2 linked regions of the Neurospora crassa OR74A genome follow. The protein of the gene in region 1 purifies or fractionates together with the protein of each later gene. This does not show direct contact. Links are inferred from orthologs where the notes say so. Each region holds a gene or a part of one and is shown on either strand. Other genes may lie near its edges.

Region 1 (4,468 bases):
ATGATGAGAACAAGCTCTCGACCGTCACTTTCCTTCCCCAGCTCAACTCCTTCTCCATCGGTCTCCCCGGCTCCCCCGACAACAAGGCCGCCCTCGAGGTCGCCAAGTTCCTCGGCACCAAGCACCACGTCATGACCTTCACTATTGAGGATGGTCTTAACGCGCTTTCCGATGTCATCTACCACCTCGAGACCTACGATGTCACCACCATCCGTGCCTCTACCCCCATGTACCTCCTCTCTCGCAAGATCAAGGCCATGGGTATCAAGATGGTTCTCTCTGGTGAGGGCTCTGACGAGATCTTCGGTGGTTACCTCTACTTCCACGGCGCTCCCAACAAGGAGGAGTTCCACGAGGAGTGTGTCCGTCGTGTTAAGAACCTCCACTTGGCCGACTGCCTGCGCGCCAACAAGTCCACCTCTGCTTGGGGTCTTGAGGCCCGTGTGCCCTTCCTCGACAAGGAGTTCCTCGAGGTTGCTCTCAACATCGATCCCCAGGAGAAGATGATCACCAAGGAGAAGCTCGAGAAGTACATCCTCCGCAAGGCCTTCGACACCAAGGACCAGCCCGAGGGTGCTTACCTCCCTGACAACATCCTCTACCGCCAGAAGGAGCAGTTCTCCGACGGTGTCGGCTACGGATGGATCGACGCTCTCAAGGACCAGGCCGAGCTCCAAGTCACTGACGAGATGATGAAGAACCCCAAGCCCGAGTGGGGTGACGACATCCCCGATACCAAGGAGGCTTACTGGTACCGCTGCATGTTCGACGAGCACTTCCCCCCTTCGTGCGCGTCTACCGTCATGAGGTGGACTCCCAAGTGGGTCAAGCAGACCGACCCCAGTGGCAGAGCCATCTCCATTCACCAAGCCAAGTATGACCACGTGGACGAGTAAAGCAAAACAAGAAAATAATAAAACCAAAAAGGGAAACCATGGATAAAGAAAATGGGGACTGGAATGTTTAAAAGCTTGGCATCGGGATTACAATGCAGGGCGTTATATGGGGTCACAATAAACGGATCGCGTATACCTATACTAGCCATTAACCCAGCATAGAGATGAAGACAAAAAGTGATTCAAAACTCTATGTAGCAATTGGCATGTTTGTGAACAATGGTGACCGTTTGGATGGGACTGACTTCGTATTGAGCAAGGTTCGGGTGCAATACACGAACGACAAGTGAAACAACCTAAGCAAGACCTATTCCAAGCAACAGACGGTAATGAAGATGTGAGTACGAGAAAAGGGGATGACAATTATGCGTATGCGATAGATAAAAGATGCTTGCATTATGTGGGTGCTATGAGATGCGGGCCTTTTCCGGACGACACAAATGCACTTGCGGTCTCGAGATGAAAGGGCTGACTGCAGATGATATGGTTTGCCTCAGCTTCAGTCTGTGCCCTGATTGTTTACCTTTGGAGAAGGCGTGAAAGGGGGCCATGACGCTGAAAGGGGTTAGGGTTAATGGTGTGCATGAACGGGCTGGTTTCGTCAATGGCGTGGGGTCGCGATTGGTGCTGCTTCAAGCTTGTCATGGCGAGCCTACTAGCGCTGCCGAGCTGCCAAATGCACACGGCGAGAAAGACCAATCACGACTCCGTCTAAGAAATTTATCGGGACATTGCACCTGGTCTTGGGGTGTCTCTGGTGTTCCCAACATTTCCATTTCCACTTTTCGGCTGGAGCTTCCCAGACCCGACGCCGACTTCCCAACCCAGTCGCCAGGCTCGCCAGAACCCACCAGAGAGAGGCCCCCCCGCCGTCAGTCGCAGCCGACCCGACTGAGCTTGCTGCTCCCCGCCGCGCGCAACATAACCGCAAGCCTTTTCTCTCCCGACTCCCGTCTCCAGCTCGCGTTCTTGAACTCCGCAACCTCACTTTCTCCATTCACCATCATACCCGTGTCGCCCTCACACAACATCTTTCACAATGGCTGTTCCCGCTTTCTCTGACATCGCCAAGTCGGCCAACGACGTAAGCAAAAATCACGCCTCCCTGTGCTCCGCACCCGAGCTATGACGGCGACCTGTTCGATCGATGTTATCGAGAGACGTGTTTGTCTGTTTGGCTGGAGAAAGCTGTACAAGCTCCAAAACTGAAGCGGCATTTCCCCATACCTACCTACACATCCCCCTCTCGCGATAGCTCGTCGATGCCAATGTCCACGAAGCAACATCGTCATCCTCCTCCACCCCCACCATGATTGAATGATTGGGCCCTGGTCCCCATGCACGCACTATAATGTGTCGCTAACCATGGACTTCTTTGCGCGCAATATAGCTCCTCAACAAGGACTTCTACCACCTCGCTGCCGGCACCATCGAGGTCAAGTCCAACACCCCCAACAATGTCGCCTTCAAGGTTACCGGCAAGTCCACACACGACAAGGTCACCAGCGGTGCTGTACGTTACCTCCTCCCTCCCTTGGGGCTCTCGGCGCAATGCCGCGACAGCATCATACCACCTTGCTGTTGCGCCAAACGCCCTCCCTTCTCTCATGTTGCCAACGGACCAAGCTGACCTCTTTTGCGTGACTGATAGCTCGAGGGCAAATTCACCGACAAGCCCAATGGTACATATCACTCTTCTCTTACATCTCTGTCTTCTTCTTCTGGTCCCCCTTTTGGTCCCCTTCCTCCCGGCGCACCACTACCTCCTGGCTTTTGCATTGTTCACAGACGCGTCCACAAAGACGAAAAGGCCAGGAATTGTCATCCCGACGGAAGTTTAGCCGCCCACGACAATGGTACTGCCAACGTGAAACAACCAAAGCAGAGGCCTTCAGCGCGTGTTCGGCCGCTGGTAGACTTGAATTTCTCTCTAGGCGGCGTCATCGGTCCTCGAGTTCGGGGACGACCCCTCTACTTCAGCTTTCTCCATTATCCGTATGCGAACCTCACGACAATGCTAATGTACTGGCGAACAACAGGCTTGACCGTCACCCAGACCTGGAACACTGCCAACGCCCTTGAGACCAAGGTCGAGATGGCCGACAACCTCGCCAAGGGTCTCAAGGCTGAGGGTATCTTCTCTTTCCTCCCCGCCACCAACGCTCGCGGCGCCAAGTTCAACCTCCACTTCAAGCAGAGCAACTTCCACGGCCGTGCTTTCTTCGACCTCCTCAAGGGCCCCACCGCCAACATTGACGCCATTGTCGGCCACGAGGGTTTCCTCGCTGGTGCCTCCGCTGGCTACGATGTCCAGAAGGCTGCCATCACTGGTTACAGCGCCGCTGTCGGCTACCACGCCCCTACCTACAGCGCTGCCATCACCGCTACTGACAACCTGAGCGTCTTCTCCGCTTCTTACTACCACAAGGTCAACTCCCAGGTTGAGGCCGGCTCCAAGGCCACCTGGAACTCCAAGACCGGTAACACCGTCGGCCTCGAGGTCGCCACCAAGTACCGCATTGACCCCGTCTCTTTCGTCAAGGTATGTTATTGCTGTCATTCCGTTTATGGAACTTCTGTATGCTGACCTGATGTTTCTTTCCAACCGTATAGGGCAAGATCAACGACCGTGGTGTCGCTGCCATTGCCTACAATGTTCTCCTCCGTGAGGGCGTCACCCTCGGTGTTGGTGCCTCTTTCGATACCCAGAAGCTTGACCAGGCCACCCACAAGGTCGGCACCAGCTTCACCTTCGAGTCTTAGAGTAATCGCAGGACACATGTGAAGAAGCAGCGGCGTAATAGTATTCCTTCGAACAAATTCTCAACTGGAATAGATAACCCCCCTTTGCTGGCATCGTGGAGCCTCCCCTTCCAGTAGTGATATTTATTTCTTTTATGAAGATAGTGAAGATGACGAACGTTGCGCCCTGCTTCGGGTGGCTGACTGATAGGATGAGTTTGTGTATAACTGGTTTGGGCTTTTGTGTAACGAAGAGGGCCAAAAGTTCTTGATAGAGTTGTAGCGTCTTTGATGGACATGGTTACTGTAATTAGGCTGGAGACGGAAACCAAGCGCGATCTTTACACTACTTAGATTATAAATACCCATAGCGATTTCAAACACGCTCATTCAGTACTTACTTTTCAAACACCGTTGAAACTCCAAAGGGCTGTGCAATGAAGTGAAGCATCAGCATGTAATTGTTGGTGGCATTCTTTGCTGCAAGCAAGGCTTAAACCCAGCCAGTTAACTAAAGCTGGAGGGATAGAGCTTATTCAACGTGTTGTCCGCAAATCGATTCCCTACACCTCGACTAGAGGAGATACGATACTAGCTATATATAGATAGGTACCTTTAGTACGGCGAACACCCAGCATGCAAAGATGCGTATTGAATTGGAACAGATCTTCTCGGCACACAGTTCAAGCTTCATCAACTTCTCATCATCTTCTCAAGAGCTGAATTATGAATGTAGTCTGTTGTCACACAAAGCTCTTCTCTAACTGCAGAACTCCGTTACCTGTATTTCTGTCACTTGGGCCTACCACAATTCTGTTACTCTTGTGGTC
Region 2 (4,480 bases), on another chromosome or scaffold:
GAAGAGGTTGAGGTGGATGTCGATGAAGGGGGGAGGGGCCACCGCCTGGAAGGAATCCTTATGAGATGGTGGGGTTGCTTGTTGTTCCGTCGACAGTCAGCTCCGTCGTCAACAGCCTAACTGCCCTGAAGCTGAGTGCTGTCTCCATGTCGACGGGAGTTCGTTGTCGTCTGCGAAACGAAAGCAGACGGTTGGCCATGTGGCTTGCACACCGAGTTGACAGCTCTGAGCCTCTGCAGCGACGGGGAGACTGCCACCTGGTAAAAGAGTCCCACTACACTTAAAACATGTTTACTTGGCGCCGTTTCAGTGTTGCACCATGCAATTTCTGTTCCACATTACCTTGAATTCGTCAACCTCTGTCAACCGGGCACCACCAAACAAATGATTGGCCCAAGCTCCCATCACATCGACGTTCATCCAATTCACAAATGCGTTTCCAAGTTCTGACAACCAACCCATCTTGATATCTCACAGCCACCATGGCAACGCAAGCTTCTCACGGACTTTTAGGCTTCAATATCAGCAAATGTCCGCATGCCAGACAATTGAGTATCAAAAGATATGCCTTCCTAGTAATACATCAGCTTCGCTGAACACTATCAACAGCTGCCTAAAGGTGAATGCGTAATATTCCAAGAAATGGTACGCACCTCCAAAACTATGGTTGCACAGCTTTCGGATTATTCAAGGAGACATCAGTAGCAGTATTGTACAGTTTCATTCATTCTCATGATTTGCTCTACTCTAACCCTCCTCTGTGGTCCGTAGATTATAGTACAAGGAGCATCATCATCATCCAAACAATGCCCGCCGGAATATGCTAGTAAGAACACACGAAGAGAAAAGGTAGAGAGGAGAGAAAGTTACATGACACACATTTTTTTTACAGTCCGTGATAACACCAAGCCCGATGCCCCCCAAACCCATGTTGTCGCCATAAATCAAAGGTAAAAATAAAGAAAAAGACACATTTTTCATCTCCTGACCGTGTGATTCACAGTTGTAGTTTGTAATTTCCTTGTCCTTCTTACATCATGCCACCCATGCCGCCCATGCCGCCCATGCCACCCATGGGAGCGGGGCCCTTCTCCTCGGGAGCCTCAACAATGGCAACCTCGGTAGTACCGAGGAGGGAGGCGACACCGGAGGCGTCAACGAGACCGGTGCGGACGACCTTGAGGGGGTCGAGAATACCGGCCTGGATCATGTCGACGTACTCAGCCTTGGCCGAGTCGAAGCCCTTGTTGAAGTCGTTGGCGAACTCGTCAGTGAGCTTGCCGACAACGACGGAGCCCTCGAGACCGGCGTTCTCAATGATGGTCTTGGCGGGGCGGGTGATGGCGTTGCGGACAATGGTGACACCGAGCTGCTGGTCGAAGTTGGCGGGCTTGACGTTCTTGAGAGCGTGGACGGAAGCCTTGATGAGGGCAGTACCACCACCGGGGAGGATACCCTCCTCAACGGCAGCGCGGGTGGCGTTGAGAGCATCGACGAAGCGGTCCTTCTTCTCACCAACCTCAACCTCGGAGGCACCGCCGACCTTGATGACGGCAACACCGCCAGAGAGCTTGGCGAGACGCTCCTGGAGCTTCTCCTTCTCGTACTCGGAGGTGGAGGGATCGGCCATGACGCCGCGGATCTGCTCGCAGCGCTGGGCAATGGCATCCTTGGAGCCCTCACCGTTGAGGATGATGGTGTCGTCCTTGGTGATGGTGATGGAGCCGGTGGAGCCGAGCATGTCGGGGGTGGCCTTCTCGAGCTTGACGTCGAGCTCGTCGGTGAAGACGGTACCATTGGTCAGGACGGCAATGTCGCCAAGGATGGACTTGCGGTTGTCACCGAAGCCGGGGGCCTTGACGGCGGCGACCTGGAGCTGGCCGCGAAGCTTGTTGAGAATGCAGACGGCAAGAGCCTCACCGTCAATGTCCTCGGCAATGATGACGAGGGGGCGGCGGGTCTGGCTGGAGATCTCGAGGGCGGGGATGATGTCGGAGGCCTGGGAGATCTTCTTCTCGGAGAGGAGGATCAGGGGCTTCTCGAACTCGACCTTCTGGGACTTGGGGTCGGTGATGAAGTAGGGGGAGACGTAGCCGCGGTCGAAGCGCATACCCTCGGTAACCTCGAGCTCGTCGTAGAGAGTCTTGCCCTCCTTGCAGGTGATGACACCCTCCTTGCCGACCTTCTCCATGGCCGAGGCAATCAGCTCACCAATGTGCTTGTCGCCGTTGGCGGAGATGGTGGCGACCTGGGCAACCTCCTCGGAGGTGGTGACATCGCGCTTGTTGGCCTGGAGGTACTCGACGACGGCCTCGACGGCAGCCTGGATACCGCGGCGGAGATCCATGGGGTTGCAGCCGGCAGCGACGTTCTTGACGGTCTCGGAGAAGATGGCGCGGGCGAGGACGGTGGCGGAGGTGGTACCGTCACCGGCGACCTCGTTGGTCTTGCCGGCGACCTCCTGGATGAGGCGGGCACCGAGGTTCTCGAACTTGTCCTTCAGGCTGATGGACTTGGCGACGGTGACACCATCTGTTGGGTGGAGGGGTTAGTCACTCTGACACACATGCCATGTTTCCCCATCACACCCCGAGACATGGTATACTAACCCTTGGTGATCTTGGGGGAGCCGAAGCTGGACTCGATGAGGACATTGCGGCCCTTGGGACCGAGAGTGGTGGCAACGGCCTTGGCGAGGGTCTCGACACCGGCGAGGAGAGCGGCACGGCCCTCAACACCGAACTTGAGCTCCTGTGTAGTGGGCGAGAGCTGTCAGTATGCGCCAATTGTCATCGGATAGCCATGACGGCATGGCCGGGACCCGGATCGTACCTTGTGAGCAAAGCGGAGCTGCTGGGCGGGAAGACGAGTGGCCGCCTTGCCGACGGAAGCTCTGGTCAACGCGCGCTGCATTTTGGGGGTATTGTGTGAAGGAAGGAAACTACAAACAGAGAAAAAAGAAGGATCACGGGGGTATCACGACGGTTGACTTCAGGGGAAAAGAGAGCAAAGGAAAGCTAGGATCGCGGACTGCCGAAAGAACTGGGGAAGAAAAGTGCGGCCGTGGGCGTGTCGGCGTTCGAAAAAAATGCTGGACTTAAACATCTCCAAAGGCCCGAGCTCCCCGCTGCCGCTAGTCGCTTGTGGGTTAGCGGCTTTGCTGCTTTCCCTCCATTTCCGCTGCTGTCGCTGTTTCTGGAACCATCTGCACCCCACCATTGGCTGCTGGGAGGGAGTCCCCAACAGTGCCCAGGTGAGCATCATTCCCCCTCATTCACTATCACTGGCACTCAGTGTTTATGTCGCGCAGCATACCTATCGAGGTTCTGACTTGACAAATTGGACACGCAACTTTGAGGCTCACCCCCTTTTCTTGACTGTCAACTGCCTCGAGACGGTTTGGATTGAATTGATCAAAAATGGCCAGTTCATCTAGACATTCAGACATTGACGACCGGTGAGTAAGCGGCTCGATGGATCCTCTGACGTCCATGCATTTCCATGTCAACAAAGTCGCTCCTCTTCCCCGGGGACGCACCTCGCTCTCGGCAGGCAGTCCCCAGAATTACCCGGCAACCGAACCCCCCTGGACCGTCTTGGTCGGTCTTGGCAAACCCGTCTCCTCCCACTTGAGCCTCAACACCGACCGGCCTTTCACAACTCGGCATCCCCGGCATCATCGGCGCCAGCATTCACAGGTCGAAATATTCGGACACAACTCCTCGTATGTGCATATGCTCTGGCAACTCGACAACTTCAAGTTCATGACCTATTCCTACGAATCCCTGTTCGGCCCATCCTACACGCCTGCTTTGCTTCTTGATTCATTCAAGCATGTTGGAGCAGATAACGGGATTGCGATATGATATTTGATCTTGTTCTCTCCTTCAACATGTCTGCGTCTCCATTTGTGTGTTGACGTGCGGACTTAAGTTTCATAACTGGCATGAGACTGGCATCTGAGATCACTTCATTCCCGCCGTTGGACTCTGAAAGAGTTGACTACCTCTACTGTTCGATGCTCGGCTGTATGATACGCCTTTCGGTATAACACGTCCCTAGCATGAAATTTTGAGGAGCCAATCACAAGCCTTGATTGCTCTTTTCCCATGTCTCAACCAGAAGACCACTCATCAAAGATCATCTTTGAAGTCCTCTTGCCCCATACTCAGTCGCTCGCAAATCACGCTTTAACTTCTGTTCATCATGAAGTCGCTTCCAAAACAGACGATTCTGCTATTGATCACAGCGTCTTCATAAATCGCTGACTATCATAGATTTCACCAGTCTATCAAACTCCGTTTCAACCACTTCACTGTGCACACTCCCTGGATATTGCTTTGGGTTCATAGCATATATACATTTATGCTCTACCTTATTTCTCTCTCCCTCAGTTGCGAAACCATCATATCAATTCTTAACAATTGGCGTTGCCAGTACCCACCTCGATTGGCCAATTCTCGTCGAACGTCAACGAACG

The links.
Region 2: the proteins of por (region 1) and hsp60 purify together in Saccharomyces cerevisiae (affinity purification with mass spectrometry, with the first as the bait; 3 studies listed by BioGRID). This does not show direct contact. The link is inferred for Neurospora crassa OR74A from reciprocal best matches to the Saccharomyces cerevisiae genes POR1 and HSP60.

The regions. Positions count from the first base shown.
Region 1 is NC_026505.1:5,560,748-5,565,215, forward strand, and holds por (outer mitochondrial membrane protein porin), read left to right. Parts: upstream 1-1,598; 5' UTR 1,599-1,935; coding exon 1,936-1,980; intron 1,981-2,286; coding exon 2,287-2,409; intron 2,410-2,547; coding exon 2,548-2,578; intron 2,579-2,935; coding exon 2,936-3,438; intron 3,439-3,509; coding exon 3,510-3,659; 3' UTR 3,660-4,049; downstream 4,050-4,468. Other genes in the region: NCU04303 (asparagine synthetase 2), read left to right, coding at 1-896. UniProt on the Saccharomyces cerevisiae protein: Non-selective voltage-gated ion channel that mediates the transport of anions and cations through the mitochondrion outer membrane.
Region 2 is NC_026502.1:3,011,484-3,015,963, reverse strand, and holds hsp60 (heat shock protein 60), read right to left. Parts: upstream 3,059-4,480; 5' UTR 2,914-3,058; coding exon 2,833-2,913; intron 2,752-2,832; coding exon 2,610-2,751; intron 2,533-2,609; coding exon 1,031-2,532; 3' UTR 577-1,030; downstream 1-576. UniProt on the Saccharomyces cerevisiae protein: May participate in assembly and/or disassembly of proteins imported into the mitochondrion. HSP60 are ATPases and have affinity for unfolded proteins.